3 linked regions of the Tribolium castaneum genome follow. Each later gene encodes a partner of the first gene's protein in a complex. Links are inferred from orthologs where the notes say so. Each region holds a gene or a part of one and is shown on either strand. Other genes may lie near its edges.

Region 1 (3,860 bases):
CTTGGGAGCCCTCGCTTTGGCAGAACTTGGCCACGGGGGTGTCTTTTTGCCGAATGTCCCACACCATGACAGCCCCTAAAAATGTTCGAGCAATGACTTTCAATAAAAAATTACAGTACCGTCTTTAGATCCGGTGGCTATTTCGGGGGCCCCGCACCCACTGGCAACCCCCGCAACTCCATCAATGGCGTTAATGACCCCGCGGTGCTTCTCCGTCTTATAAATCGGGATTAAATTCTCCTCCAAATCCCTACGAGACTTAAAAATTTTGGCCAACTTTTGGACGACTTACCAGACTTGTAACCGCCCGCTGAAGTCGCCAGTCGCAAGGTGGCGGTCTCTTAAACTCGAGGCGTGAAACGTGCCGCATTTAAAGTGGTCTTTCTTGCCGAATTCGGCCACTTTTTCGATCCCATCACCACTGATTGAGTAGGTCTCGATAATTCCAGCCCCGTTTGATTTGCCCCCGATTGAGACGAATTTCGCGGAACAGGGGATCCACTTGACGTCGTGGACGGTGTAGTTCAGGGCTTGCTGCACGTGGCAGATTATTTGGGGCCTTTGGAGCGACTCCATAACGTTTGATTGATCAAACAATTGTTGTCATAGCAAAGCGCATTTTCGGGGGCAATAATTGCCCAAGTTTAAATAAAACAAGCTGTTCTCGTTACGTTTTTAATTATTTTGTTTTTTTTTTTCACCCCCGTTATATCCTGCAATGTTCTTTATTTTTGCAGGAAATTAAGCCCTTCGTTAGGGCCTTCGACTGTAAAAAATCATGTTCGGACAAACAGCCATTGGGACCTTTTTTTACGGCTGTAAAAAAACAATTAGCAATACATTTAAGGATTGCTCTAATTAGTCAAATTATTAACTAATTTGTCCAGCAAATTAGGTTTAGAGCATTCTTGTCAGGAAAAAAGGAAACAGCTTCCAAAGCATTCGAAAAAAAGATTTTTAATTGCATTTTATTCGTAAGAAAGTGAGGTTAAAAATTTGACAACTTGCGCTCTAAATATGTCGTTTCAAATATAAACAGAGTAGTGATAAAAGTAATTATTTTGCTTCAATTCGGTGATTATGTAAGCGCAACAACACTATGATATGTTAGTGACCGTCAAAGTGTTGTTTTTCGCTAAATCGAGAGAAATCGTGGGCCAAAAATCCGCCGAACTTGACCTGCCGTCCCCCATCTCCTACAAAAAGCTTTTAGAAACACTCGTCGGCACGTATTTTTTGGCCGAAATTGCCCAAAACATTATTCTCTCCCTCAATGAGGAGTTTTGCGACGTGGAAAGTGTCGAAATTGTGTTAAAACAGGGCGACGAAGTAGCAATAATCCCACCTCTGAGTGGCGGTTAGGGCCCCAAAATGAATTTTTTGAAATTCACCGAAGACAAGCTAAGTGTTGAGGCGTTGACTGATCTAGTCGCCTCGCCGAAATGTGGCGCAGTCTCGGTTTTTATGGGGACCACCAGAGACAGTTTCGGGGAAAAAACCGTCCTTAAATTGGAGTACGAGGCGTACGAAGCCATGGCTTTGAAGTGTCTCGAAAAAGTGTGCGGGGAGATCAGGGCCAAGTGGCCTCAAGTCGAAAATATCGCAATCTATCACAGGTTTGAAAAATTTAAATTGGGGCCAAATTTTGATTTTTTTTTGTTTAACAGACTGGGGGTTGTGGGGGTCAAGGAGGCTAGCATTGTAATTGCAATCGCGTCCCCCCACCGTACCGAGGCGCTGCAAGCCACCGACTGGTGCATCAACAAGGTTAAAGAGAGTGTGCCTATTTGGAAAAAGGAGATTTACGCTGAAACTGAAACTCCTCCACAGTGGAAGGAAAATAAAGAATGTGGGTGGTCAAGTAAATAAAGTCTAAAATTGATTGGCTCTCATTTATAGCCCCCAAACCGAAAAAATTCAAGCTCGAAATCGAGCCCAAAGTCGAAATTCCCAACGTTTCGCCCCATTTGATTCAAATCAAGGCCTCAAACGCGGACTTGAGCAAACGAATCGAGAATTTTATGGAGATGAAGCGAAACGAAATCAACATAAGCAATGTGAGAGAGTTTTGCACAAGTAATCGAAGTTCAGAGTTCACTTGCGCCCGAGTCGATGCGGTTTTGCAAAAACGCAAAGACTCCAATGGCCATTTGCAAGGTTCGTGGCCCTTAAAAAATCACAATTTTACGATTTTTATTCCAATTTTTACAAGTCTGCTAAAAGTATACAACTGCACAGGGTTATTCTATTTGGCACCAGACATTTTTCATTAATGTTTAGAGAACACATTTTTATCTGAAAATAAAAAAATTAACGAAAAAATTAAGACTTTACGGACAGGACACAAATGTGCCGAGCATGACCTCCTTGATGTATGCAGACAACTTCGTTAAAAATAATACATCAAGGAGGCCATGGCGCCGAGTAAAAATTGACTGAAAAAAAAGAGCAAAGAAACTGCACGGTCAACACGAGAAATATATTTTTAACAGACTAACCCTCTATAAATTTAGCAAAAAATGTCGGGGAAAAGTGCTACTTTTCGGACGATTTTCGAAAAACAAGTATTTCAGACTAATTTTTTTGCAGTAAGTCGGGTTTTGAACACTTACCACCGCGACCAAACAAATTCGGACTACCTGACCAAATACATCCCCCAAAACGGCATTGAGGAGCGCCTCCAAAACCTGGAAATCCAACTCAGTTTGACCACCCCAACCCCGAAAAATATCTACACCCGTTTGAAGAAACTAGAAGACCGGATATTGTTCCTTGAAACGATTTCGCCCGAATATATCAATTTTTGGGTAAGCTTTTTGAGAGATTTCCCTCCCTTTTTAGTGAAATTTTTAGGACAAAAGCCACTTAAACAATAGATTTGTGAAGAAGAAGGTTTTCTCAGTTGAGGAAATCGATTCGCTAATTAGCGATTTGGAGCGGAAGGTTCAGGAGGAGAAAAAATAAATCTGTTTTTAGTTTATTATTATTATTAAAAAATAAATTACGTAAATATTGTCGGGTCGGTAAACCTGGCCGTGAAAATGTAAAAAAAAGCCGGCAGTGGGACCAACAGTAGCAACAATGAGTGAAAAGTCGGGTCACTAAGCTGAGTTATTGAAATTAAACCATAGGCGTGTAAACACCAATGGCCCACTAAGATTACCACATTTCTCGGGTCTACAACTGTTGTTATGATGAGTGAGGGAATCGATTGGTTGATTTTGAGGGCAAAGTGATAAGCACACGAAATAACTGACAAAATAACGACCAAAATTGGGAACGCATAATCTGGAACAAAACCAATCAAAAGTGTGATTTTTGGCGCAATCATTACGTACAAAGAAGTCCCCCAATTAGGGCATGGACCACCACCAAAATCGGTATATAGTACATGGCGGCATAAATCGACATTTTGCTCTGCCTTGGAAGGTATTTCCGGCAAACCCATGGCCTTATCAAAAGCATAACAATCAAAGTCAGGGCATAAAAAATAAAAACTAGCGTATACCTAAAACAAAAACACTCAATAAAGTAGTATAATCAATTAGTAGCCCTACAAGGGATACACAGCCTCCTGGGTACAATGCACCCTCTTCTCATAATCCGGGGCCGGATTATGCAACAAAGTGTACCAATCGGCCAAGCTGCGCACTCTGCAGTTCCGCACCTGGAACTCGCCGAACGGGTGCGTGAAAAGCACCGACAAGAGCCCCGAAATGACCACTTCCACCAGCGCAGTCAAGTGTAAAATTAGGACGTCTTTTTTGAAGCTACAACGAACAGTGAAGGTGTGACGGGCAATAGGGGGCTCACCTTCGTCGCATCGACACCATGTCGATGAAAAACCAGTGCAGAATCTG
Region 2 (2,714 bases), on another chromosome or scaffold:
ATTTTATTTTTAAAAAACGTCTTTTTTATTGTTGAATTGGTGGTCAAAAGGGCATTATGTGACAAAACCGATTTCGGGGTGAAATGGGGCGAAAACTGCAATAGTGCATTTGCGGAGCTGGAAAACATAACAATTTTTAACATTGTTCCGACAACTAAAAGGCCATAATTTTATTTTTAAAAAACGTCTTTTTTATTGTTGAATTGGTGGTCAAAAGGGCATTGTGTGACAAAACCGATTTCGGGGTGAAATGGGGCGAAAACTGCAATAGTGCATTTGCGGAGCTGGAAAACATAACAATTTTTAACATTGTTCCGACAACTAAAAGGCCATAATTTTATTTTTAAAAAACGTCTTTTTTATTGTTGAATTGGTGGTCAAAAGGGCATTGTGTGACAAAACCGATTTCGGGGTGAAATGGGGCGAAAACTGCAATAATGCATTTGCGGAGCTGGAAAACATAACAATTTTTAACATTGTTCCGACAACTAAAAGGCCATAATTTTATTTTTAAAAAACGTCTTTTTTATTGTTGAATTGGTGGTCAAAAGGGCATTATGTGACAAAACCGATTTCGGGGTGAAATGGGGCGAAAACTGCAATAATGCATTTGCGGAGCTGGAAAACATAACAATTTTTAACATTGTTCCGACAACTAAAAGGCCATAATTTTATTTTTAAAAAACGTCTTTTTTATTGTTGAATTGGTGGTCAAAAGGGCATTATGTGACAAAACCGATTTCGGGGTGAAATGGGGCGAAAACTGCAATAGTGCATTTGCGGAGCTGGAAAACATAACAATTTTTAACATTGTTCCGACAACTAAAAGGCCATAATTTTATTTTTAAAAAACGTCTTTTTTATTGTTGAATTGGTGGTCAAAAGGGCATTGTGTGACAAAACCGATTTCGGGGTGAAATGGGGCGAAAACTGCAACAGTGCATTTGCGGAGCTGGGCAACATAACAATTTTTAACATTGTTCCGACAACTAAAAGGCCATAATTTTATTTTTAAAAAACGTCTTTTTTATTGTTGAATTAGTGGTCAAAAGGGCATTGTGTGACAAAACCGATTTCGGGGTGAAATGGGGCGAAAACTACAATAATGCATTTGCGGAGCCATAAATATTGAAATTAGGTGAAAAAGTGGGAAAAATTAAAAAGCAATTTGTGGTAAATAATTGAGTTTTTCGCTATTAGCATAGTGACTTTCTTAAAATGTCATTTTTAAGAGGGTGTTTAGTGTTTTTTCGGATTTTTATTTTATTAAACGGTTTCAAAGCTGACAACCAAACATACATCTAAGCAAACTGAAACTTATTTTGCTAGTCTGAAACTGGCTTCATGTTCGGGTCTCTTCGGAAATTCGAGGAGCTGGTTTTGGGAGCTGTCTTCACACAAATGACGATCTGTCATTTCGCGGACTCTAACAGCATTATCCTTGACATGTCAAATTGTTCCAGCTGTCCCTATTTGAGGTTAAATATCTCTTTTTTGTTGATAAATATAACAATTTACAATGTCTAATCAAAATAATGCTGGTGGTTTAACAAATACCGAAGACGATGAGCTGACTTTGCCTCGGGCTAGCATTAACAAAATGATAAAGGAGTTAGTCCCATCAGTTCGAGTTGCAAATGAAGCAAGGGAATTAATCCTCAACTGTTGTACGGAATTTATCCATTTGCTTAGTTCTGAAGCGAACGAAATATGTAATCGATTGGACAAAAAGACTATAAATGCGGAACACGTTTTGATGGGTATGTTTCATCATTGTTAAACAACACAAAAGTAAAGTTTTTCGCAGCTTTAGAAAAGTTGGGTTTTGGAGATTATCAAACCGAAGCTGAAGCTGTTCTTAAGGACTGTAAGGCTGTTGCAGCGAAACGCAGGCGACAGAGCACAAGGTTAGAAAATTTGGGAATACCAGAAGAGGAGTTGTTGAGACAACAGCAGGAGTTGTTCGCCAAGGCTAGGCAAGAGCAGGCTTTTGTGGAGCAACAGCAATGGGAGCAACTACAAGCTGCGGCACAAGCCCAAGCTTCGGCTCTACCAAACAATGATGATGATTACGAATGATTTATTAAACGCTTTAAATATTTTGTTATTGTTTTCATTTATTTTTTAATATCTTAGATTTAGGCTTTGTATCAACCACAAACATTCAATAAATAGTGACCCAACGTTTTTTACAAGAAAATTATTCATCTGCAATCTTATGCGTACGAAGTCTAAACAGGATAAAATAACCAATTTCCTAACGCTGAAAAACACTCATTATTACAGTCTTGGTAATGTAGTCCCTGTAAATAATTAAGTAATAAAAATAATTATTAAATAAATGGAAAAAAAACCTTTAAAACTAAGCGCCAACTAAGTGCCAACGTAACATGTTTGCCATGTTTTGATCTTGGCAACACTTTTTTCATTGAAATATCCCCAAGATAATGTCATTTTCTAATAGAAAAAAAGTTATTTAATTTCCATTTAGCACGTAACCGCAGAACAATTTTTATATTTAATACAAAAATAGTTTTTTTGATAAGCAAACTAGAGATACAAAAAGGCGCAAAGCTGCCGTACATTGAGGTTATGTGAATGAACTCGTGTAAGTAAATTCTCCAGATTTTTTCATCATTATCGCAAATAGTGCGCTTACCCAAGCATGATATTTTAGAATGTTGAAAAAAAAGTAAATAAGCAATAAATAATCT
Region 3 (2,633 bases), on another chromosome or scaffold:
TCAGTGTTGCCAACCTAAATTTCAAAGTCAGTGCCTACTTTGGCCCGATTTTTAACCAATTTGCAGGCAACGTTGCAAAAATCACAGAAAGCGACCTCAAAGAAGTGGGAATTGTGAATAAATCGGACCGGGTCCACATTTTAGACGCATTCCAAATGTACCGAAAGGAGCAAATACCGACCGATACGGCCCCCTCAGCTCCAGTGCTGCCAATCGAAGAGGCAAGTGCGCCACCACTCGAAAATGTCGCAAATTTGGGGACTGAATGCGTCATTTGTTTGGACTCAACTGTATGTTGTTTATCTCAAATTAAGGCGAATTTTGGTGTTTTTTTTTTGCAGTGTGAGGTGATTTTCGTGCCATGTGGACACTTCTGTTGCTGTTCCCAGTGTCCTGTGACCTTGAACGACTGTCCAATGTGCAGGACTTCAATCGAACGCAAAATTAGAATAATTTCATAGTTCGTTCAACTGCCGTCACTTTTTTTGCTCAGTGTTGCTAAAGTGTGAATTCTGCACGATTTGTGGCCTTAATCTAGTCAGTTGTTACTTTTTCTCATGAATAAAAAACTATCACAAAAAATTTATTTTTTATTACGATTCTCCCGTTTCTTCCTCTTCCACGGCCTCCTCGTCGTTGTCTTCCGCCATTTCAACGTCGGCCCCCTTCTTCACTTTCTTCTTCTGCTTCGCTTCTTTGAAATCTGAAGTCGGTTTTTGAAACGTGAACATAACCTCAAAAAAAAACTAACCTCTCAGCATCACACTTAAGGGCTCCACGAATTCGTCAAACTCGAGCTCTTCTAACGCTGTTAGAATGTCTTGACCCAGAAGAGTCTTTCTGTTCACTTTTTGCGCCTCTTTGGTGGCTTGTGAGGTTATGTACAGGACAAAAATTGAAGCGGCCCTTGACAGGGCCGAACGGGCGTCTTTACCAACACTGACGTGTTCAGGCAATGCGTCTTTAATTATCTTTTGCACCGTCATGTTCGGCAAATTCAAATCTTCCAGTTTTTCGGCCATTTGGTCACAAAATTCACAAAATTACTTTTCCCACCAAAAACAAAAAACGCGCATGCGCAATGCCAACCGCCATGTTTGAATTTTGATTAAAAAATCATTAATTTGTTTATTATTGGTCACCTAATAATTATAAATTTGTGTTTTTTGTTTAATTAAGCTTGGGGGGCTCGTGACGAATGGGGTGGTTTATTTTAGGGGCTGTTTTTTGCAGTTTTGGTGGGGGGCCTTGAACTATTCACCCTTGTTGGCCTTGGTTATTGAGGTTATGTTATAAACGGTTGACGTTTTGAAAATATGTGAAAAAGGTGAGTTAATTTTGCATTTTCTCACCTAAATTAACACAAATGTGGGTCAATTCGTGAATTGTACGTCAGTCTAATCAATTTCCAGTCGTAATTCGCTAAAAAAAGGGGGTTCAGAAATGTCCATAAGCCAAGTGGAAAATGTCAGCACTCGTGTAAAAAACACAAAAAAAGAGATCGAACAGCTCAAAACCGAGCTAGAGAAGCTCATAAGTCTTGGGACCCAGCCCCCTGAGCCCCCCACCCACAAGCCAGCCCCTGATACCCAAACCGTTAAAAAAAAGGCGCCCCCCGATCCCGAGAAAAAGCCCCGCAGTTATGACGTCACCGAGGCGCGTAACTACATCAAAAAACAGCGGGAAAAACGCGCCGAACAATTGCGGGCCCAAATCAACACCACTGACAATAAACTCGATCTGAAAAAGCAAAAACTGAAAGAATTACACCAGAAAACACTCGAGCTGGTGACAAAAAACGTGCAGTTGAAGCGCGAACGCTCGAAATCGCGGGACAAGGGCGAGCCCCCTGTCCGGATCGACCGCTCGAAGGCGCGGGAGAAAGGGGGCCCCCTTGTCCGAACCAACCGCCCGAAGTCACAGGACAAGGGGGGCCCCCCGAAAATCGACCGCTCGAAGTCGCCCGCACAAAAAGTTTCTGAGGGCTCCGAAAAGACGCAAAAAAGCGAGAGAATTTCGAGGGCCAAGGCCCGGGAGCCCCAGAAATTGGCGAAAACGTCGTCTGAGGCGAAAGAGACGCAAACGTGCGACAAGGGGGCGCCCTGGCTGGAGCCCCCTTGTGCGGCGTATCCGTACAATTTTATAAACACAGTTAAGAGAAAATTGCAGTTTGCTGTGAATTCGCCCCGGAATTTTATCGACATTGGGGTGCAGAATTCCGGGACTCCGCCCCTGGAAACAAAATCGAGGGAAGAAATTAAAGAACTGTTGATTAAAAGTGCCAAAAGTGAGTTGAGATCGTTTGTTTCGCACAAATGTCTCGACTTGAAGCCTGTGGAAAATTTAGAATTGAGAGAAGTGTCGAAAAATTTGTTCAATAATTGTGATAGTGGTAGTGAGTCGGATACTTCGAAAAATATTCCCGACATTTCGAGTGAAAGTCTAAAGCTCGATTTCGATAAATTGAAAAACTACAAGTTGCAGAAAAGTGACGATAGTTACAGTTCGGATTTTCACAAAGAAAGTGTTTCATTTAAATCGCTCCTAACTGAAAAAAAAGTATCGAAAAATTTCTCTGATTCGGATTCGGTTCCCGAATCTTTGACGATGAAACAACCAAATGTTTCGCTTTC

Evidence for each region.
Region 2: Mocs2B (region 1) and NC2beta share a complex: the UniProt entries of both Drosophila melanogaster proteins name them as parts of the ada2a-containing (ATAC) complex. The link is inferred for Tribolium castaneum from reciprocal best matches to the Drosophila melanogaster genes Mocs2B and NC2beta.
Region 3: Mocs2B (region 1) and DNA polymerase epsilon subunit 3 share a complex: the UniProt entries of both Drosophila melanogaster proteins name them as parts of the ada2a-containing (ATAC) complex. The link is inferred for Tribolium castaneum from reciprocal best matches to the Drosophila melanogaster genes Mocs2B and Chrac-14.

The regions. Positions count from the first base shown.
Region 1 is NC_087396.1:21,505,687-21,509,546, forward strand, and holds Mocs2B (molybdopterin synthase catalytic subunit), read left to right. Parts: upstream 1-1,371; coding exon 1,372-1,616; intron 1,617-1,667; coding exon 1,668-1,849; intron 1,850-1,899; coding exon 1,900-2,157; intron 2,158-2,589; coding exon 2,590-2,807; intron 2,808-2,853; coding exon 2,854-2,964; 3' UTR 2,965-3,001; downstream 3,002-3,860. Other genes in the region: Wdr92 (dynein axonemal assembly factor 10), read right to left, coding at 1-75, 120-250, 293-576; Mocs2A (molybdopterin synthase sulfur carrier subunit), read left to right, coding at 1,105-1,362; JNK1/MAPK8-associated membrane protein, read right to left, coding at 3,002-3,288, 3,339-3,508, 3,558-3,770, 3,814-3,860. UniProt on the Drosophila melanogaster protein: Catalytic subunit of the molybdopterin synthase complex, a complex that catalyzes the conversion of precursor Z into molybdopterin.
Region 2 is NC_087398.1:1,910,195-1,912,908, reverse strand, and holds NC2beta (protein Dr1), read left to right. Parts: upstream 1-1,400; 5' UTR 1,401-1,519; coding exon 1,520-1,760; intron 1,761-1,807; coding exon 1,808-2,079; 3' UTR 2,080-2,102; downstream 2,103-2,714. UniProt on the Drosophila melanogaster protein: Bifunctional basic transcription factor. Activates transcription of DPE (Downstream Promoter Element) containing promoters while repressing transcription of promoters which contain TATA elements.
Region 3 is NC_087394.1:1,508,904-1,511,536, forward strand, and holds DNA polymerase epsilon subunit 3, read right to left. Parts: upstream 1,095-2,633; 5' UTR 1,023-1,094; coding exon 752-1,022; intron 704-751; coding exon 594-703; 3' UTR 578-593; downstream 1-577. Other genes in the region: E3 ubiquitin-protein ligase LRSAM1, read left to right, coding at 67-290, 342-461; centrosome-associated protein 350-like, read left to right, coding at 1,444-2,633. UniProt on the Drosophila melanogaster protein: Accessory component of the DNA polymerase epsilon complex. Participates in DNA repair and in chromosomal DNA replication. Histone-like protein which promotes nucleosome sliding of ATP-dependent nucleosome remodeling complexes.